Stegostoma tigrinum: one gene and its partners. The protein of the gene in region 2 purifies or fractionates together with the protein of the main gene of each other region. This does not show direct contact. Links are inferred from orthologs where the notes say so. Each region holds a gene or a part of one and is shown on either strand. Other genes may lie near its edges.

Evidence for each region. Proteins that work in one complex are often made in the same cells at the same time.
Region 1: the proteins of wdr5 (region 2) and yap1 purify together in Homo sapiens (affinity purification with mass spectrometry; 3 studies listed by BioGRID, with this or other methods). This does not show direct contact. The link is inferred for Stegostoma tigrinum from reciprocal best matches to the Homo sapiens genes WDR5 and YAP1.
Region 3: the proteins of wdr5 (region 2) and ruvbl1 purify together in Homo sapiens (affinity purification with mass spectrometry; 3 studies listed by BioGRID and IntAct, with this or other methods). This does not show direct contact. The link is inferred for Stegostoma tigrinum from reciprocal best matches to the Homo sapiens genes WDR5 and RUVBL1.

Annotation. Positions count from the first base shown.
Region 1 is NC_081359.1:1,795,086-1,802,755, forward strand, and holds the start of yap1 (transcriptional coactivator YAP1), read left to right. Parts: upstream 1-4,651; 5' UTR 4,652-4,916; coding exon 4,917-5,446; intron 5,447-7,670. UniProt on the Homo sapiens protein: Transcriptional regulator with dual roles as a coactivator and corepressor. Critical downstream regulatory target in the Hippo signaling pathway, crucial for organ size control and tumor suppression by restricting proliferation and promoting apoptosis.
Region 2 is NC_081382.1:45,448,693-45,456,348, reverse strand, and holds the start of wdr5 (WD repeat-containing protein 5), read left to right. Parts: upstream 1-4,638; 5' UTR 4,639-4,755; exon of another isoform or gene 4,756-6,070; intron 6,071-7,656. Other genes in the region: putative uncharacterized protein BRD3OS, read left to right, coding at 3,056-3,394.
Region 3 is NC_081364.1:5,187,451-5,194,390, reverse strand, and holds the start of ruvbl1 (ruvB-like 1), read right to left. Parts: upstream 3,020-6,940; 5' UTR 2,897-3,019; coding exon 2,756-2,896; intron 1-2,755. UniProt on the Homo sapiens protein: Possesses single-stranded DNA-stimulated ATPase and ATP-dependent DNA helicase (3' to 5') activity; hexamerization is thought to be critical for ATP hydrolysis and adjacent subunits in the ring-like structure contribute to the ATPase activity.

The sequences.
Region 1 (7,670 bases), on a different chromosome or scaffold from region 2:
TCCTACAAATCTACTCTGTCAGCTCACGACAGTCCTGATGTGATCACTTTCCTGAATTATTTTTCAACTAACCAACAACACCTTGGCTCATGGTTGAACCATTTCTGGGAAAATACTGAGTTTTAGTATCATCAAGATATTCACATAGCTTTCCAGATTTTGTAATTTTAGCAAGCTTCCATGTTGTCTTAAGAGGTCCTAGCTACTTTTCAGTCAAACACGAAAAATAGACTTCTCGAGAGAGATTAGTTTCTTTACCCACCTCCAAACCACGCAAGAGCATGATGAGTTCCTCTTTCGGGCTTGGCTAGCTTTTGTTTTATTTTGGAATCTGTGCAGTTTCCTTCACACTCCAGATTTCTTGGTTGTAGCTCTCCTTTGTATCCCTCAGCCTTAAGGCTTCTGGTCATAAGTTCCTTCCCGGGGAGAGCTAATTTCCTTTCTGGATTTGGTCTAAGCACATAGAGATATGGTTAATTCTTAACTGCTCTTTGAAATTGTGTAACAAACGATTCAATTGTTAGAGATTGTAGATGAAGGCCAGCCTTTCCAATGATGCCCATGTCCTGCAAGAGAATATAGAAAAAAAGCGACCTATTATAATAACAACAAGTGCTGCAAAATCTCAGCAGATCTGGCATCATCCATGGTGAGATAAAAACAAAGTTAATGATTCAAGTCAAATTTGACTCTTCAGAACTGATTCAATTGAGTTCTATGGATGCGCCCCTGAAGTTAAATGGAAAGACTGAAAAACCTGGGGACGTTCTCTTTATAGCAAAGAAGGTTAAGTGGAGATTTCATTGATGTGTTCAAAATTACTAATGCTTTAATAAAATAAATAAGCAAAAACTGTGGCAGAAGACTCAGTAACAAGATAAAATTTCAATATTTGCCAATGATACAAAACTTGCAGATGTGGAAGACAATGAAGAAGATACAAATAAACTGCAACAGGACACAGATAGGTCAGGAGAACAGACAAATACATGGCAGCTGGCAAATGGAATTTAATAGGGAGAAATGAGAAGAAGCCTTTTTAGAGAAGCAATATAAACATTACAATTCCAAACACTGTATAAGAATGTGAAAAGCATGAAGGTTCATATAGATAAATGTTTGAAGGAGGCAGGCATTTTGAGGAAATTAGTTGGAAAAATATGTAGAATCTTGTACTTCATAAATAGAAGTATCACCAGAATGGTTCCAGGAATTAGTTAAGGTGGAGAAACTGGGGTTATGGCCCTCAGTGCAAAAGGGATTGAGGTGAAATTTGATAAGAGGTACACAAGTGTATGACAGGATTAGAAAAGATAGACAAAGGAAAACTGCTCTACCTGATATTGTAGGGAGGATACAGATTTAGGGATTGTGACAAGAGGTGCAGGGGCTTGTGAAAAAAAAACTTTACAATATTGTGAACAGTAATGAGTAGGGCATGCTGTTCAAAAGAACCAGCCCAGGAGCAATGAGTCAAATGGAGACACGACCCAAAATGTCAACTTTCCTGCTCCTCTGATGCTGCCTGACCTGCTGTGTTCCTCCAGCTCCACACTGTATTAACTCTGACTCCAGCAGCTGCAGTTCTTGCTATTTCCTATCAATGAGCCAAATGGTTGTCCTTATTGTCTTTGCCGTATTTTGATTCTATGATTTAAATAGTTCAGGCATGTGTTCTGCAGGACATGGCTCCAATATACTGCAGCATGCTTCCTGCCTAATGTACTTGGGGCTTCAGCATCCATTCGACACAACAGTAACATACAGAAACTTAAAATTTCCAAGCCTTTGTGTCCTTTATTGCAGATTCAGCATTTGCAATCATTTTACAAGCTTTCCTTTATTTGTGAGAGTTAAAATTTAGCAATGCTGGACGATCATGATGATTAAATATAGTACCATAGAAAACAGGAGCAGGAGTAGGCCATTCAGCCTTTGAATCTGCTTCGCCATTCAATATGGTCTCGGCTGATAATCCAACCCAGTATATGTTCCCACTTTCTCTCCATACCCCATGATCCCTTGAGCTCTAAGAAGTTTATCTCATTCGTTCTTGAAAACATTCAATGTTTTGACCTCAGTTACTTGCTGTGACAGAGAATTCCATAGGCTCACCACTCTCTGGCTGAAGGAATTTGTCTTCTCAGTCAAAGCATGAAAGGATAAATAATACAAACAAACGTGAAAAAAATCTGTTATGAAGTTGAAGTTGGGAGTAGAGAATAATTCCAATCATTGCTTTAGTTTTTCCTGATAGCTGTGATTTCTTTGAGTAGTTGTTCCTTTTGAGAGTTTTTCTACCATAATCATTTGTTTCACATCTGTAATGCATGATATCATGTGACCTACACTTTAATTGCAGGTCCAAAACGGCATCCTTTTGAATTTGAGTTATAACTTTGCCTTAGTAACTGATTCATTGTAACCATAAGGAACAGGCTATGATTTAAGGGGGTTATTATTTGGACATGATCATAAAATCACAAGAGACTTTTGGAAAACACAGCTTCATGAAATAATATTGGTGGAAAGCATTTATTAAAATATTTTTAAAACATGATTCGGCAACATCCAACGATCTGGTGCAACAATATTAATGCTTGCCTCTTCCGACAGAAACCGTGTTCCCGTTATACCATTTTTGACCAGGATAAGTTATGGGGCTATAACACATACTAATTTTGCTCTATTTTAAAGAAAGGTGGTAAATAATTCCATTTAGAAATGGGTACATTCCGTATCCGTTGTTGTCTGGAGGGGAGGGGTACAGGGAGTGATTTTTTTTCCCACTTTTGGTCGATCTCACCACTACCAATATGGCCTTGTCCCATCAAGCGAAAACTTTAAAATGTACCAAATGTTGTCATCACGCATCCAAAATAAATCAAATCCACTTTTTGAAACACTTCGTCATATCTGTAATATACAAACGTGAAATGAAACGGTAACAATTGAGAGCAGTCCCCACGGTGATAGATTTTCCCTGATATATTGCCTTGTATTCACCAGCTCCAACTAAAAGATTACAGAAAACACATCTGCCATGTGTGTGGTCTGGGAAGTCGGGCCGGTTAAACATATCTTCAGGGGAACCGCCATTAGCTACCAAAATGATTACTGTCTACAAGGATTTAAGAAAGCTCGGAAAGAGTACGTTTGCAGACTCTTCCTTAATAAAATTACTTTGTTTTATGGCTTGAGATGCGATACAATTCAGGGAAAGGGTGGAGAACTTCAGCCGTTAAACAATGTGATGAAAACTTTCCCTTCCTCAAACTCAAATATTGTGCGGTACGGTGTTCAGAATAATAACAAAACCACAGTTTACGTTTACACTGTTAAAACTTTGGAAAAATCTGTACGTTTATGAGTTTATGCACTTACATCATGGGACGCTTTCTCGCATGTTACCTGCAACTCATGTTTTTTCTGAGCGATTCTATCATTTTCTGTGAAATTGTTGTCCTGACTCGTGCAACGATATTTAACTACCTCGTGTCGAGCCGGTGAGTTAAAAGATAGGGAGACAGGTAAAACCGTGACCTGACCAAAGCATCATGAACAACGAACCACAAATTCTTCACAAGATCTGAAACATTTGAAAGACGGACAGAAAATACAGGAAATACTCAGCAAATCCGGCAGTATCTAGGGACAGAACCAAAGTTAATGTTTCAAGTCGATGATGTTTGACCAGAACAAATACTTACTCGTTTATTATAAAAATAATACATTTCTGTTCTTTTGTTCGGACCAATTTTCACACTTATTCTAATCAATATTTCTAAATTATTCCTCAGCGATTGGGCATTGAGCGGTTTTAATTACCTTTCTTATTGCAATGAGAGAAGATTTTAGGGAGAAAATATAAGGTTTTTTTTCTTTTTGCAGCCTGATTTCAAATATTGCAATGTATCTTTTACTGACTGTACCCTGAATTCATTGCTGCGGGGTTCCTTTCCTATTGAGGGCCTGGAATTCAGGTGCTTTCTGGTTTGTAATGGGTAACAAGGCACAGAGCAGGATCATCAGAATCCCTACATTGCAAAGAGGCCATTTGGCCCAACAAGTCCAGAATCAAATCCCGGTCCCAGGCGCTGTGAAACAGCAGTGCTAGCCACTGAGCCACAATGCCGTCCCAGTGCAGTCTTCACTCTGCCTTTTCAGTCCCGTTTTAAATACACCGTCCCTTATGATAGCACGGAAACCGCCAGTACAGACAGCAACTTCCCAAATGGAGTAGAGTGTAAGTTCGCCCCTTCATGTGGCAAACGTGATGGGATCGCCCTGTGAGGCGGCTGGAAGCAGTGAAGATCACAGATGACAGCGGGGAGGGAGACAGGGAGGCTGGGGAGAGAGAGATGGGGAAAGTGGGGGGAGGGAAGAGAGAGGGAGAAGAGGGAGAGACAGAAGAAGGCAGGGATTGGGGGCGGAGAGGTGAAATCACTGAGGTCGGTACCGTACAAACTGTACCACCGCGGCTGGGTTTGAGGTGAAACCCAATCTAAGTTAAACATTACACTCACAATTCTCCCCCACCCCCCGCCAGGGGCCCGGGAATGGACTCCGCCCCACGTGACGTGAGCGGTCACGTGCGCAGCAGGAAAAGTTGTGAAAGTCGCTGCAAACTTTCCCCGCGGGTGGGGGGGGGGTGGAGGTAAAAAAAAGGGAGTGCGCGCGCCACACACGGCTCTGAGGGAGAGAGCGCGAGCGGGCTCGGGTTCACCGGGCGGGCGGAGAGTTCCAGAAGGTTCCACTCGTGGAGCGCGTCGATGTGGGGCTGGAAAAACCTGCCGTTATCACCGGCCTGAGAGAAACCTCCGGTAGGGAGTGAGGGGGCTGGCTGGCTGACTGAGGGAGGGCACCAGGCGGGTGGCACCGGGACGCGGCAGTACAGGGACAGGCCGGTTTGGCCCATGGATCCGAGTCAGCAGCAGCAGCAGGGAACCGGGACGGGGCCGGGGGCGGCGGTGCCTCGGGCCGGCCACCAGATCGTGCATGTCCGGGGGGACTCGGAGACCGACCTGGAGGCTCTCTTCAACGCCGTGATGAACCCCAAGAACTCGAACGTGCCGCAGTCTGTCCCGATGCGGCTCCGCAAACTTCCCGACTCGTTCTTCAAACAGCCCGAGCCCAAGAGCCACTCCCGCCAGGCTAGCACAGACGGGCCGAATGCTCCGCCGCTGCAACCCCAGCATGTGAGGGCTCACTCGTCGCCGGCCTCCCTCCTCAGCGCCGCCGCTACCGCCGCCGCTCCCCCCGCCTCGGGGTCCTCCGGCTCTTCGGGCTCGGCCTCGCCCGCCGCTGCTGCAGTGTCCCAGGGAAGCGGCTCCTCCCCGGCCTCCGCTCACCTCCGCCAGGCTTCCTATGAGATTCCCGACGATGTACCTCTACCTCCGGGCTGGGAAATGGCGAAAACCCCCTCGGGCCAGCGATACTACTTAAAGTAAGTGATTCCCAGTTTATGTTCTCACCTCCCCCCGCTCCCCTTTTTAAAAAAACAAACCCTGTCCCAGGGATTGGGGGGGGGGGGGTGCAATGTGTTTGTTTCCAATTTAATTTGGGAAAAAGGCCAGCGGATCAAATTGCAACGGTGGGATAATCAGCCCTTGGTCCTCAGGATTGTGTTTGAAGTTTAGGAGTGTAAGTTCAGCCAACATCATTCTCACTTTGAGTGCCATGTTGCTGGGTGAAACTATTTCCAGTGTAACTTTACGTCCCAAATGCCTAAAAGAAATTACTATGTTGTAACTCTCGCCCAGGCATGTGTGTAGTAGTGACAGGATTTGATTCAAATCCGAACTGCTGAATGTGACAGGAACCGAAATCTTTGAACTGCAGCATCGTCGATCCTGGTATCGGAATGTGGTGAAAAGGAGCTGGTTTTGTTGTGGCTTGGTTATAAAGCTGCTCATTTCCCGTGGTGACAGGCGCCTGAACTTTGAAAGTTTGAAGGGAGACCTGAGAGAGTGCAGAAGCCTGCTTGCAATGCGGTGGGCAAAGTTCACGCCCGCCTTCTGCAATCCCGAGTGTTTCATGGTGAACGGGGGCCGTCCTTAAAACTTAAAATAAAATCCATTCACTGAGACAGTTGTCCTTGAGCAGTTAATTCATTTGAATGTGGAGGTGATGTTAAATTTAAATATTTAGTTGCCACCATCGCTGGAATGAGTGGGTTACTGGATGCACTTTGTATTTGACCAGCTTTGTATTTGGCGACACCCGTTCCATGCACTTACCCGGACTTTCAACTTTTACAATGTTTGAGTTTCGTTGATTTCGTATTCCACTAGCTCATTCCAAGATTTCAATCCCACAAAATACCGTTCATGTTTTAAAGTTTCGTTTCGTTTGTGTATTGTAAAAACAAAGTAAATTCATCTTTACGCAGAGAGATGGTTTAACAGTTGATTTTTTTTGAGAAAGACGTGTGATGTTATGGTTTTGAAAGAATAAATAAAAGCAGTGCGATCCGAACACACATTTGTGGAAATAGTTTTCCGTTTGATCCGATTTGAGGGAAGCTGAAATTTGCACAAAGTTTCACCCCCCCCCCGCCTCCCCGCGGCGAGGCTAGGCAGCGAGCAGTATCCATTTCAGAGTGTCCTATTACTTTGGGAACAATAGTACTCTGTCGTGGTCCGACTGTGCAAAAGTCCACATGTCTGGCAAGAGTCACTGCAGTGGGTCCAACGTTTGTTCCCTTGCAGACGGCTAGAGTCAGTTATTGAAGCAACGGCATGTTGACCGGGATGTTTCTTTGAGCAAAAGAGTAACGTGGGAAGTCGGGACAAAACCTGTTTGTAAAGTTTATGCACTTTGTAACCCTTCTCCCGCCTCGCGGGGGGAGGGGTTAATAGTCCCCGGAGGAGCCCGGTGAAGTACAGGCCCTTCGGCCGTCGATGTGGCGCCGATCTGTGAAACCAATCTGAAGCCCATCTAACCTACACTATTCCATTATCATGAACAGTAATATTTCTTGTGCCATGATATCTCACTTCTGGATAGAATTGTGGGAAAATTAAAAATCCATCACATCAAAGACTAAAAGTTCAATCTCATTATTTAAAGATCAGTTAATAACTCTGCATTTACGTAGCACCTGTGACGTTCCTGAAATAATATACGGCCACTAAATTACAACGCAATCAGAAGCAAATACTGCAGATGCTAGTAATGTAAAATGAGTGACCATGTCTTCGATAACATTAAGTACCTCATCACAGACAAACAACCTTGTAGCTGGTGTTTAATTACAACTGAATGGTCTCAAATGGTTACCCTAAATGGCAATTTTTAATTGTTACGGTAACATTTACCGCTGATCTGCCATTCCAATCAGGCCTGACTGCAACAGGTTAATGAGTTGTAAAGTGTGCAAGTTTGCGGGTATACATAGCTCAATGTATTATTGAGTTTTTGCAAGTCGGGTTTACTTCGAACTGTTGCACTAGGTTTTGCCCTTCTTGCTAGCCGTCACATTGTTTACAATTCTCTACAGTCATGTCTTTTAATCAATTCAGATACATCTTAAAACAAATCTTCTCAGCATCTCGATGCACCAACCACTCCAAGTCTAAATATTTAACTTGACTTATTATTGTCATGTATCAAGATACAGTGAAAAGTATTGAAGCTGTGCTTGAATCTGTTGGTACATGTTTTCAAAC
Region 2 (7,656 bases):
TCTTTGTAGGTTACGTGGAACAGTCCCTCTTCCGCACCTACACAGGCCCCAAACCCCACCTCTTCCTCCGGTACATTGATGACTGTATCGGCGCCGCCTCTTGCTCCCCAGAGGAGCTCGAACAGTTCATCCACTTCACCAACACCTTCCACCCCAACCTTCAGTTCACCTGGGCAATCTCCAGCACATCCCTCACCTTCCTGGACCTCTCAGTCTCCATCTCAGGCAACCAGCTTGTAACTGATGTCCATTTCAAGCCCACCGACTCCCACAGCTACCTAGAATACACCTCCTCCCACCCACTCTCCTGCAAAAATTCCATCCCCTATTCCCAATTCCTCCGCCTCCGCCGCATCTGCTCCCACGATAAGACATTCCACTCCCGCACATCCCAGATGTCCAAGTTCTTTAAGGACCGCAACTTTCCCCCCACAGTGATCGAGAACGCCCTTGACCGCGTCTGCCGTATTTCCCGCAACACATCCCTCACACCCCGCCCCCGCCACAACCGCCCCAAGAGGATCCCCCTCGTTCTCACACACCACCCTACCAACCTCCGGATACAACGCATTATCCTCCGACACTTCCGCCATTTACAATCCGACCCCACCACCCAAGACATTTTTCCATCCCCTCCCCTGTCAGCTTTCCGGAGAGACCACTCTCTCCGTGACTCCCTCGTTCGCTCCACACTGCCCTCCAACCCCACCACACCCGGCACCTTCCCCTGCAACCGCAGGAAATGCTACACCTGTCCCCACACCTCCTCCCTCACCCCCATCCCAGGCCCCAAGATGACATTCCACATCAAGCAGAGGTTCACCTGCACATCTGCCAATGTGGTATACTGCATCCACTGTACCCGGTGCGGCTTCCTCTACATTGGGGAAACCAAGCGGAGGCTTGGGGACCGCTTTGCAGAATACCTCCGCTCAGTTCGCAACAAACAACTGCACCTCCCAGTCGCAAACCATTTCCACTCCCCCTCCCATTCTTTAGATGACATGTCCATCATGGGCCTCCTGCAGTGCCACAATGATGCCACCCGAAGGTTGCAGGAACAGCAACTCACCTGGGAACCCTGCAGCCATATGGTATCAATGTGGACTTCACCAGTTTCAAAATCTCCCCTTCCCCTACTGCATCCCTAAACCAGCCCAGTTCGTCCCCTCCCCCCACTGCACCACACAACCAGCCCAGCTCTTCCCCCCCACCCACTGCATCCCAAAACCAGTCCAACCTGTCTCTGCCTCCCTAACCTGTTCTTCCTCTCACCCATCCCTTCCTCCTACCCCAAGCCGCACCCCCAGCTACCTACTAACCTCATCCCACCTCCTTGACCTGTCCGTCTTCCCTGGACTGACCTATCCCCTCCCTACCTCCCCACCTACACCCTCTCCACCAATCTTCTTTACTCTCCATCTTCGGTCCGCCTCCCCCTCTCTCCCTATTTATTCCAGTTCCCTCTCCCCATCCCCCTCTCTGATGAAGGGTCTAGGCCCGAAACGTCAGCTTTTGTGCTCCTGAGATGCTGCTTGGCCTGCTGTGTTCATCCAGCCTCACATTTTATTATCTTGGAATTCTCCAGCATCTGCAGTTCCCATTATCTCTGCTCTATTGGTAGCTTAGCCAAATGCTTTGCCTCCATGTATATACTTATTTTTGGTCACTATGCAGTCCCACTCTGTGGAGAGAAAGCAGTTAACGTTTCAGATCCAGTCACTCATGTCCAGAACTGATTGTACCTAGGGAAAGATTGGTATATATGCTGAAGATGGGGTGTGGGAAGAAGGGAGGAGTAAACAATAGGTGGAGATGGAGCCCAGAGAGACGCAAAAACAGTTGGGCAGATAACGGAGGTAAAGGTCAGTGTGGGAGAATGAATAGCTAATAAGGGGGGCCATTAATGGCTGACCGTGGTTTGGTTTGTATCATGAAAAGGCCTGGTGTATGGGAGTTGGGGTAAGAACATGGGAGAGATGCTCAAGCCCCAAAATTGTTCAACTCAGTACTTTTACCATGCATTTATTATTTATTTGCAGATAGATCTCCATTTGATATGGGTCATGTGAATGTGTTTTTTTTGGCTTCAGTTTACTCACAATTCCTTTTGTCATGCCCAGGCTCACGATTGTTTGCCGTAATTTCCTCTTTCTGAAAGTCTAAGTAACCTATTATCCTGGAACAATTTTACTGGGTCAGCCAGTCTGTGATTTTGGTCTTGCTGAGTCAGTTGATTCTCACCTCGTTGAAATTGGCTATCCTGGAATTATGTCTATTCTGAATGTTCCCTGTTCTTTTCTACCATCACCTTACGATTTTATGAAAAGTTGGGGCAGGTAGGTTCAATCAGGCATTCAAGAAGGTGTTTGTTTACTATTTAAATGGGGTAATGGGGAAAGGGCAGGAGAATGGCACAAAGTCATGAAGCTTGTTTGCTGAGTGTTGGAGACACAATGTTTTATTACCTCCTTTCTGCGCCATAACAATCTGTTACCTTCAAATTTCCTGATCCTTTCGGTTCTCATCCTCCTGATCCAGACCCAGCTCTGCCTCCCTCCTCATCAAGGCGAACTGATCCGGAAACTTCCATCACTTTTAGAAATTATCGCCAGTCTCTGCCCCTCACACTATTACTGCCCCGGTCGATATTCTGGACAATCGTGTTGTCTCCTTTTGTCATTTTCCTGCGAATTTGTCCCGCAGTTTTAAGACAGCTCGACTGTCTCTGGTAATTTTAGGCGCAATCTAAATGCAGTTCGCTCCGAATGGAATGAAGAGCTGCGAGTGTGGGGGAAATCTGAGACAAAAACACGAATTGCTGGAGAGGCTCAGCGGGTCTGGCAGCATCTCTGCAGAGAGAGAGGTTAACGATTCGAGCCCAGTGACCCCCTTCCTCAGAACCGTTATTGGGCCGCCGTTGTTGTCAGGGGCGGGAAGCCGGTTGCCATGGTTTCCCGGGGGGGGCGGGAAGCCGGTTGCCATGGTTTCCCGGGGGGCGGGGCCGAGGGAGCTATGCCTTCCCTCGGATGGATGTCCCGTCCGGGCCTGAGGGATGAATGGGGCCGGCTCCAGGTCCGGGTCCCCCGCCTCCCGCGGGCGGACGCTGCTGGCCGAGAAGGCCGTGTCTGAAAGCTACGCCCGGCTCCGGTACCGAGACACTTCGCTCCTGATCTGGAGGCAGCAGCAGTTACAGCTGGAGCGGCGGACACTGGGCTCAGGCCCGGGCCCCGGACCCGACAGCTTCCTGGGCCGCAGCCACAGCATGTGGTACCGGCAGTTCGGCAATCAGCCTATCCTGGTCCGGGACAGGAACAAACTAAGCCCGGGGTCCTGCCCCGGCACAGGCCCGGTTCCAAATCCAGGCCGTTCCCGTATTTGCTCATTAATGTGAACTGGATCCGGATTCAGGACAAAACCGGGACAGAGTAGCAAACCCAGTAACAACTGGAGAAGCCATTCCAGTCAGTACCGGAACAACTACTGAAGATCACAGTGGGTCAGGCAGCATCCATGGAGTGAGAGCAACCTAACTTTTCGAGTCCAAATTTCAAGGCTGGAGTAACACCAACTATCATTAGCGGCTGCAGTATTTATGACCGACAGTAGCTCTGCAACCAGATTAACACCAAGACGACACATCTGGACCAATATGGGAAATGACAGTGTACATCCGTAGTATTTACAGATTTTCCTGGATTAATACCTCGCATAAATCTGTTTGGAGACGGGATCTATGCAGATTATCACTCTCTGTATTCATCCTCCCTGCAATAGTGTTGTTATTTATAAACTGATTTTATTTATGGATCAATGCCTGAGCTGGAATAGCTGGGTGTTTCAGACTGTGCATAAGAACAAATCCGTAGTAGAAACCCATCTGGGAGAATCAGAACTGGATTATGAGATTGACCCATTTTCCAGATGTGGGCTGGCCACTCAGGTGATGAGATTACATTGCGCTGTAGAGAATAAACTGTGTAAAAAAAGTGATAGAAGTTTTGTGTTAGAGTGGAATTACAGTATTCAAAGCCATTCTAATTGTGTTAACATTACTCCCTACTGAGCAAGGCTTGTTTTTAATTGACAATTTTATTCATACAGCACTTTTCACTGACATACCCCTCACAAATATTTTGTGCTGTGAATGATTTCCAGCTTCTTGAGCATGTGATTTTTTTAAAAAAATAATTCCACCAAATAGCTTCGGCTGCTTGTGCTCTGGGTTGAAACCTTTGTCTCTGCAGCTCTCTGTCCCTCCTTTAAGCAACTTATAACCTACCTAATAACTTAACATGCTCTATCAAATTTGATTTATTATCGTCAAATATACCTAGGTGCAGTGAAAAGTGATAACACAGTATGGAGCTGGAAAAATACAGAACATTTTCTGGAGAAAGGTCCCAACCTGAAACGTCAGTTTTCCTGCTCCTCTGATGCTGCCTGGCCTGTGTTCCCCCAGCTCCACATGGTGTTATCTTTGGCTCCAGCATCGGCAGTTCTTACTATCTCTTCAGTGAAAAGCTCTGTTTTTGTGTATCTGTTACAGGAAAGATGTTGCAAAACTTGAAAGGGTGTTACGTGTATGGAATGAGCTGCCAGAGGACATGGTAGAGGCTGGTACAATTACAAAATTCAAAAGGCATCTAAATGGGTATATGGATAAGAAGGATTTAGAGGAAAATGGGCCAAGGTTATTTTCGGATATCTGGTCGGCCTGAAGTTGATTGCATACTGTACACCTGAGTACAAGCAGTAAGTACATATGAAGTTCATAAGTTGATAGAACAAAATGAGCAATACAATGTTAAAACTGCAGAGGAGCACAAAAAGTGAGATCAACATTAAATTTGTGACATCCCTTCAAAAGTCTAATAACAGCAGGGAAGAAGCTGCTGTTGAACCTGATGTTACACATGTTTAAGCTTTTGTACATTCTGCCTGACAGAAAAGGTTAGAAGAAATTATAGCCAGGCTGGAGGGATCTTTGACGTTGGCTACCTTTCCAAAGCAACAAGAAGTGTAAATGGAGTATATGATGTTCCTATGAAGCACATGATTTTTTTTTGCTATGACTAGGTGCTGTACAAATGTATATTGGAGTTTCTGTTGGAATGCAGTTCTTTTTGTGACAACCTTTTTCTCCCAGCACTACCGTAAACCCAGGATTGTGCATGTTGGATAATATTTAGCTGATTCTGGGAGCTTAATGTCAGCAGGTGACATCCAATAGGCTTAAGGGTGACAATACAGCATTGTTTATTTACAGCATAGATACAAGTTGTCTCATCTCCACCAATGTTTCTGCTTCCCCTATGCTTCGTCCCACTCCTGTTCATTTAGATTAACCTTTTATTTATTTCTCCCTTATGTGTTTATCTACCTTGGCCTTGTATACATCTTATTCATTACAATGACTCCCTGCAATAGTGAATCACATTCTCTCTGGGTGGAGAGGTTTCTCCTGAATTCCCTTTTGGAATTATTAGTGATAGTCTTATATCAATGATCTCTGTTTCTGGTCAACCTGAAGTAGAAAAATCTTGAAGTCTAAGATGCTGAAGATACAAAACAAAAACAAAAATTGCTGGAGAAATTTGGCAGGTTTGGAGTATTTGTGGATGGAAAGCAGAGTTAATGTTTTGAGTCCTGTGCTGTGAAGAAGATTCTGAAGAAAGGTCATTTGACTCAAAATATTTAACCTTGAAGTCTACTCTCTTGACTCCCTTGGTAAAACAATCACAGAATTATTGATTTTACGATCCTTACCAATGGTACTGTGACTACAGGACAGATAGCTGAATTTGAGGAGGCAGTTTTCATGTCACTAGACTAATGCTCTGAGGACCTGTGTTCAATCCCAGCATGGCAGATGGTTATAAACAGAATTCAGTAAAAATCCGGAATAAAAAAACAGTCTAAAGGTGACTGTCAATTGTTTCAGAAATCCATCTGGTTCAGTAATGCCTTTAAGGATGGAAATCTAGTGTCCTTACTACTCTGTCCGACATGGCCAGACTCTCAGCAATCTCTTAATTACCCTCTGGGCAATAAATGGTGGCTTACTCAATGATGTCAGAATTCCATGAATTAATTAAAAAAGAAAAAGGGTCAGGCTGGGTACAAGAACTGTAGACTGTGAGACTACTTGACGCTGGGTACAAGAACTGTAGACTGTGAGACTACTTGACGCTGGGTACAAGAACTGTAGACTGTGAGACTACTTGGCCCATTATGCTTGTGGCAGCCTTGTTCGTTATACCTTGTTCTGCTCATCAAGCCTTTTTACATGTTTATCTTTCATATGGAAAGTTATCGTGCTTTCTACTGCAACATTTTTTTCTGATGTGGTATCCCATGAGATAACAGTTCCTGTGTAAAAAGACATTCTGATCTCTTGATTGTGATATTTTGCGCTATCTGGCTCCCTGGAGCTTTTCTTTACCAGTTTCTCTTTCAAAAAGCTTCAATAATTCTGAGCCACTCCAACCCACACACAGGCAGATAACTTCAACTTCTTGGGTCAAACAGTAAGAGTGCCAGCAAATAAAACTCCTGATTGTATAAATCCCAATAACTCTCTGTAGAGTCTTGCTATCCTTCTTACTATGACCTCTTCTAAAATCTGTACACATTGGACACTTTCTCTTTTCATTTGTAATTAGGAATGATTAGATTAGATTCAGTTCCCTACAGTGTGGAAACAGGCCCTTCAGCTCAACAAGTCCACACCGCCCTTTGAAGCATTCCACCCAGACCCATTCCCCTATAACCCACACACCCCTGAACACTACCGACAATTTAGCACGGCTGATCCACCTAGCTTGCACATCTTTGGACTGTGGGAGGAAACCGGAGCACCCAGACGAAACCCACGCAAACACAGGGAGAATGTGGAAACTCCACACAGACGGTCGCCCGAGGCTGGAACTGAACCCGAGTCCTGGCGCTGTGAGGCTGCAGTGCTAACCACTGAGCCACCGTGTCTTGATGAATAGGCATCCAAATGTATGAGGCCTGGAAATGAAATGGCTACTCCAGAACACTATCTATTCTGACTAGTAAACACCAAATGACACATTTATCTGCACTTGGCCCACAACCTACTGTGCCCTGGTATTTTAAGATCTCATTTAGATGCCCCTTAAATGTTGCAAGTACCTGCCTCCACCATCCAATTAGGTAGCACATCCATATTTTCCACACCCCTTACATGAAAAACATTTTTCTCATATCTTCTAAACCACTTTTACGCCCTCTGGTCTTAGACGCATCTGCCAAGGGGAAAAAGATTCTCATGATCTATCCAGTTTATGCCTCTCAAGTTTTTCGTTCCTCAATCGGACCTCCCCTCAGCCTTCTCAGCTCCGTGGAAAACAAACCTAGCCTATCCAGTCTCTCATAACTGAGATTTTTCATCACAGGCAACATCCTGGTGAAATGCCTCTAAACCTTCTCCGGCACAATCACATTCTTCCAATAATGTGGTGAACAGAACTGCACACACAACTGTAGCCTAACCCTTGTTTTTGTAAATATTCACAATTACATCAAGCTTGAGGCATCACAGGGATGATACTCTTCTGTACACAGCACCTAAGCCCTGTCCTGACTTGCTATTCCACCTTCACTTCCTTTTGTATTTTATCTTTACTT
Region 3 (6,940 bases), on a different chromosome or scaffold from region 2:
GGAATGATAATCAAAGTCAATTCTCCACTCACATTCATGATACATTAACTCATGCTAAACTTGAGAGTTGTCAAACTTTACAGTTCATACACGAATTACAATTAATTTTACGCAATTAATGTCGCTTTTTAAATACAGATAAAGCTGAACAATTAATAAATACCTTTAGATAATTAAAGATGTTCTCAGCAAGCTAAAATGGAAAATGAAATGTCTGGAAACATCGTTGATTAAAATGTTGAAGAGGTACAGACAGTCATCCAAAGGCTAACACAGAGGTGGCCTTTCCATTAGAAGAACAGAATGACTGAATCAAACAAAGTAGAAAAGTCTAAAACTGCATCTGCAATGAGTGGTGCGCAGGTTTACTCAACCAAGGAAGGAGCAATGATATTAGTGGGGGAGGGGTGGGAAGTCGGGGGGGGGAAGAGTTGGGGTGGGAGGTTGGGGAGAGAGTGGGGGGTGATTAAGAGTAGGAATAGGGGAAGAGTGAGCAGATGGGGGGAGTGGGAGGTAGCGATAGAGGTAGGGGAAGAGAGGGCAGATGGAAGGAGTGAGGGTGGGAATTGAGGAGACGGGCATGGGGAGGGGTGATTGAAGAGGGGGGAAAGGGGAGGAGGGGGGATCCTGGGGGTGGGGAAAAGGAAAGGGTGAAAATCAGGGAACATTTAGAGAAAGGAGAGTCACTGGACATGATCTATTTGGATTTCCAAAAAGCCTTTGATAAGGTGCCAAACAGGAGGCTCCTAAATAAGACCCATGGCACAAGGACCATGGATAGAGGATTGGTTGAGAGGGAGTAAACAGACCATGGGGTTGAAGGATTTGGGGTAACAAAGCACAGAACTGGATGAACACAGCAGCCAAGCAGCATTTTGGGGATGAAGGGGTCTTTTTCAGGATGGTGACTAGTGAGTTCTGCAGCAGGCTATGGGACCACAACCATTCACGTTGTACAGCAACAATCTGGATAAAGGAACTGAATGTACTGTTGCTAAGTTTCCAGGTGACACAAAAATAGGTGGAAGAACAACTAACGTCAAGGAAGTGGGGAGGCTGCAGGAGGACTTGGGGCAGAGTGGGCAAAGAAGTGGCAGGTGGAATACAATGTGGGGAAGTGTGAGGTTATGTACTTAGCAAGAAAAGTAGAGGCATAGGCAATATTTTCTAACTGGGGAAAGGCTTCAGAAACCTGAAGCACAACGGGACTTGCAAGTCCTAGTTTAGGATTCTCTGAAAGTTAACATGTAGGCTCAGTTAGCAGATAGGAAAGTAAATGCAATATTCATATACATTTCAACAGGGCTAGGATACAAGGGCAGAAATGTTAATTTACAACATTTAAAGAACACTTGGATAGATATATGAGCAGTAACGGTTTACAGGGGTATGGGCCAAACGCTGGGAAATGTGACCGTTAGGATATCTGGTCAGCATAGATGAGTCAGACAGAAGGGTCTGTTTCCACGCCGTACATTTCCAGGACTCTATGTAATGCTGAGGCGGAACAAGACTCTGGTCAGACCACATTTGGAATACTGTGAGCAGTTCGGGGGAGGCAAGGGCCTAGTGGTATTATCGCTGGACTCTTAATCCAGAGACCCAGGTATCATCCTGGGGACCTAGGTTTGAATCCTGCCACAGCGGATGGTTGAATTCGAATTCAATAAATATGTGGAGTTAAAAATCTAATGATGACCGTGAATCCATTGTGGAATGTTGGAAAAACCCATCTGGTTCACTAATATCCTGTAGGGAAGAAAACTGCCATCCTTGCCTGGTCTGGCCTACATGTGACACCAGACCCACAGCAACGTGGCTGACTCTTAACTGCCCTCTGGTCAATAAGTGCTGGCCAAGCCAGCGATGCCATCATCCTGTAAATGAATAAAGAATTAAGTCTGGGGCCCCCTACCTACACAAGTACGTGCTGGCATTGGAGAAGTCTAGTGGAGGTTTACAAGAATAATAAACAAATAAACTGCAGATGCTGGAAATTAGAAATTGCCAAAAAAAACACTCAGCAAATCTGGCAGCATCTGTGGAGAGAAGGCAGAGTTAAGATCCTTAGCGCTCTGAAGGACGGTTGCTGGACCTGAATCATTTACACTGCTTTCTCTCCATTGATACTGCTGAACCTGTTGAGTTTTTCCAGCAATTTCTGATTTGGTTCACAAGAATAATCTTAAGGGTGAAGATTTTGTCCTGTGACAAGTGCTTGAGGACACTGGGTCTGTACTAGATGGAATTTAGAAGAATGAGGAGATTGACCTGATTGAAATTTACAGAATACTGAGATGCCTGGATTTGGAGAACAGATTTCTATTAGTAGAAAAGACTAAGGACTAAGGGCACAACCTCAGGGTGAAAGGGTGACCCTTTAGAACTGGGATATGAGGGAATTTTTTCAAAGGGTGGTGAATCTGTGGATCACATTATTGCAGAAGCCTCCGGAGGCAAAGTCATTAAGAATATTTAAGACAGAGATGGATAGTTTCTTGATTAGTAAGGGGGATCAAGGGTCACAGGGAGGAGACAGCAAAGTATGATTGAGAAACATATCAGCCATGATCGAAAGGTGGAGCAGATTCGATGGGCGGAATGGCCTAATTGTGCTATGATTTCTAGAACATAGAACTGTATTCCATAAGTGACAGGAGCACAATTAGGCCCTTCAGCCCATCAAGACTTAGTCTTGTGGAATGGAGATGCCCTGCTTTCTGTGATCCCCAGGCCCGAGCCGGTCCTCACCCACCTCCCTGGCGTTCTCCTGGCCAACCAGCCCGGCGGCCGCCACCTTGGCCTGGCCGTTCTCGTCTAAACCGAGCCCCTTCACATGGCTGTGGCTGGCGATCCGCTGGGTCTTGGTCGTGCTCTTGACTTCTTCGATCTTCATGGTGAACTGTGAATGTGCGGCCTTAGCGCAGGCCTCGGCCTCTTCCTCACCTGAAGCCCGCGGCGCGTGTTACCAAGAGGCCAGAGGAAACATCGCTCTACCGACCTCGATGGAGGACAGCAACGCCCAGCCCTTCACCGATTGGATACGAAGCACGTCAATCAGAATATCCCCTCATCCTACTGGCCAATAAACCAACCATCATTGCAACACCGAATCAGCAAGCTCAGTGGGCGGTAACCTCCTGCCCGTCGTTAAGGGGCGGACCGCCGCAGCCGCCGACACGAGGGTCATCTCGAACTATTGGCTGTCCTTTGGGCATTCCCAATTCCGATTGGATAGCATATCTGTCAATCACTAGGTCTTCGGCCTGAATTTTGTTACCAATAGTTCACCTCATGTTCAAACTTTAGTGAAAATGTTTTGTACTGAAAAAGAATTCTGTTTTTTTTAAAAAACAATCACTATTTCAATGTTAGAGGAAGAACTTTTTACCCAGATATTTTGAAATTCACATTTCTAATTTTAAGATTTTTCACCTGAGCACAATTTTTAATGATGCTTTTAGATGATAATATTAAACATTCCTTTGAGTTTAACAAACCGGGATGTAAAAGTAACTATTTAAAATATCACTTAGACTCTATTACATTATCAATGCAGCTGTTAAGGGTGGTGTAAGTTTCAGTTAATGATTAGGCAATTAAAGGAAATTAACTCATTTTTACATGGATACAAGATAATAAAATGTGAGGCTGGATGAACACAGCAGGCCAAGCAGCATCTCAGGAGCACAAAAGCTGACGTTTCGGGCCTAGACCCTTCATCAGAGAGGGGGATGGGGGGAGGGAACTGGAATAAATAGGGAGAGAGGGGGAGGCGGACCGAAGATGGAGAGCAAAGAAGATAGGTGGAGAGGGTGTAGGTGGGGAGGTAGGGAGGGGATAGGTCAGTCCAGGGAAGACGGACAGGTCAAGGAGGTGGGATGAGGTTAGTAGGTAGATGGGGGTGCGGCTTGGGGTGGGAGGAAGGGATGGGTGAGAGGAAGAACCGGTTAGGGAGGCAGAGACAGGTTGGACTGGTTTTAGGATGCAGTGGGTGGGGGGGAAGAGCTGGGCTGGTTGTGTGGTGCAGTGGGGGGAGGGGATGAACTGGGCTGGTTTAGGGATGCAGTGGGGGAAGGGGAGATTTTGAAACTGGTGAAGTCCACATTGATACCATATGGCTGCAGGGTTCCCAGGCGGAATATGAGTTGCTGTTCCTGCAACCTTCGGGTGGCATCATTGTGGCAGTGCAGGAGGCCCATGATGGACATGTCATCAAGAGAATGGGAGGGGGAGTGGAAATGGTTTGCGACTGGGAGGTGCAGTTGTTTGTTGCGAACTGACCTGCCAGTCGCAAACCATTTCCACTCCCCCTCCCATTCTCTTGATGACATGTCCATCATGGGCCTCCTGCACTGCCACAATGATGCCACCCGAAGGTTGCAGGAACAGCAACTCATATTCCGCCTGGGAACCCTGCAGCCATATGGTATCAATGTGGACTTCACCAGTTTCAAAATCTCCCCTTCCCCCACTGCATCCCTAAACCAGCCCAGTTCATCCCCTCCCCCCACTGCACCACACAACCAGCCCAGCTCTTCCCCCCCACCCACTGCATCCCAAAACCAGTCCAACCTGTCTCTGCCTCCCTAACCGGTTCTTCCTCTCACCCATCCCTTCCTCCCACCCCCAGCCGCACCCCCAGCTACCTACTAACCTCATCCCACCTCCTTGACCTGTCCGTCTTCCCTGGACTGACCTATCCCCTCCCTACCTCCCCACCTACACCCTCTCCACCTATCTTCTTTGCTCTCCATCTTCGGTCCGCCTCCCCCTCTCTCCCTATTTATTCCAGTTCCCTCCCCCCATCCCCCTCTCTGATGAAGGGTCTAGGCCCGAAACGTCAGCTTTTGTGCTCCTGAGATGCTGCTTGGCCTGCTGTGTTCATCCAGCCTCACATTTTATTATCTTGGAATCTCCAGCATCTGCAGTTCCCATTATCTCCTTTACATGGATACAGTGGGGTTTGATTGCTCGCTGAAGGACAGACATAGACATGATGCCAAATGTATTTTTCTGATCTTCAGGGGAAATCTGTGCAAAGTGAAACTTTGAAGCGTGGCTATGCTTTGCAGAAGCAGATCAGAAATGTGCCTGCTATTATAAAAGTATTCAATGATAAGACTCGCTGTGGAATGTGGTTCTGAAGAAGGGCAAATCTTGTAGAGCTAGTCCGAGTGGGCTGTATAGCCTGTTTCTGTGTCGTAAATCCCTACAAAATCCTCATTTCATTATGCAGATGTGAAGTTCCAGAAGTAAATAACACAATGTTGAGGATGAGCTGCAGGTTGGGTCAGCAGTCAATCTTTGAGAAAGGATGTTAATATATTCGGTTTGAGTACTGAATATATTTGCAACATTTTCCTGTTTTATTTTAATTTTGAATTTGTTGTCATTTATTGGATTTGTATAATACCTGTATTTTAGGGTTTAAGTTATGAGGCATGATTACACACATTTAGGATGTCAAAGGGTGATCTGATTGAAGCCTTCAAGATAGTAACAGGAAAAGACAGGGGAGGTAAAGCTAAGGAAATTTGGCATGTCCATAATGGCTGTTACCAATTTTTATCGATGCACCAAATAAAGCAGCCCATCTGGATGCGTCACAATTTGGTATGTCAGCTGCTTTGCCCAAGATCGCAAGAAACTACAAGGAGTTCTGAATGCAACCCAGTCCATCATGGAAACTAGCACTCTTTCCATTAACTCTGTCTAGACTTCTTGCTGGCTTGGGAAAGCAGCTAACATGATCAAAGACCTCTTTCATCTCTATTATAATATCTTCCACCCTCTTCCATTTGGCAGACTGTACGAAAGTTTGAAAACACATACCAACAGATTTAAGAACAGCTTCTTCCCTGATGTTATCAGACATATGAATGGACCTCCCATATATCAGAGTTGAGCTTTCTCTGCTTCTTCTCTGTAGCTGTATACTATATTTTGTATTATGTTCTACTACCCTGATGTACATACACAATTTATGATTTGTCTGGTTAGCATACTGTATGTCAATACATGTGACAATGATAAATCAAATCAACACATAAAGAAAAACTATTTCCACTGATTGGGGATTCTAGAACTAGGGATATATTCTGAGAATTAGGGTCAGACAATTCATGAGTGATGTTAGGAAGCACTTCTATACTCAAAGGGTGGTAGAGGTTTGGAATTCTCTTCCACAAATGATATTTGATACTTGATCAATTATTAATTTTAAGTCTTGGATTGATCAATTTTTGTTGAACAAAGTTATTAAGGGACATGGGCCAAAGGCAGGCATATTGAGTTAAACAACAAATCAGCCATGGTCTTATCTAACGGCAGATCAAGCTTGAGGGGTTCATATGACTGTCCAGGATGCCCAGTCCTATGGAGGGAGCTTCCCACGAGGAGCTCGAACAGTTCATTCAATTCACCAACACCTTCCATCCCAACCTTAAGTTCACCTGGATCATCTCTGATACTTCTCTCTCTTTCCTGGGCCTCTCTGTTTCCATCTCTGGCAACGACCTGGAAACCGATATCCACGTCAAGCCCAACATCTCCCATAGCTACCTATAATACACCTCCTCCCACCCAGCTTCCTGCAAAAATGGCATCCCCCATTCCCAATCCCTTCGCCTCAGCTGCAAAAAAGCATTTCTGAAGAAGGATCTAGACACGAAACATCAGCCTTCCTGCTCCTCTGATGCTGCTTGGCCTGCTGTGTTCATCCAGCTCTACACCTTGGTATTTCAAAAAGGCTTCCTGATTTCAGTCCAAAATGGCCCAGCTGAGATTTTAAATTATATCTTCTTGTTCTTGATTTTCCATAAGGAATTATATCACCGATCTACCTTATTGAATCTTATTAAAATGTTAAACATCTCTATCTGATCATTCTTCAATCTTATTCATCCAGGGAAAGGCAAACCAAGTTCATATAACCTCT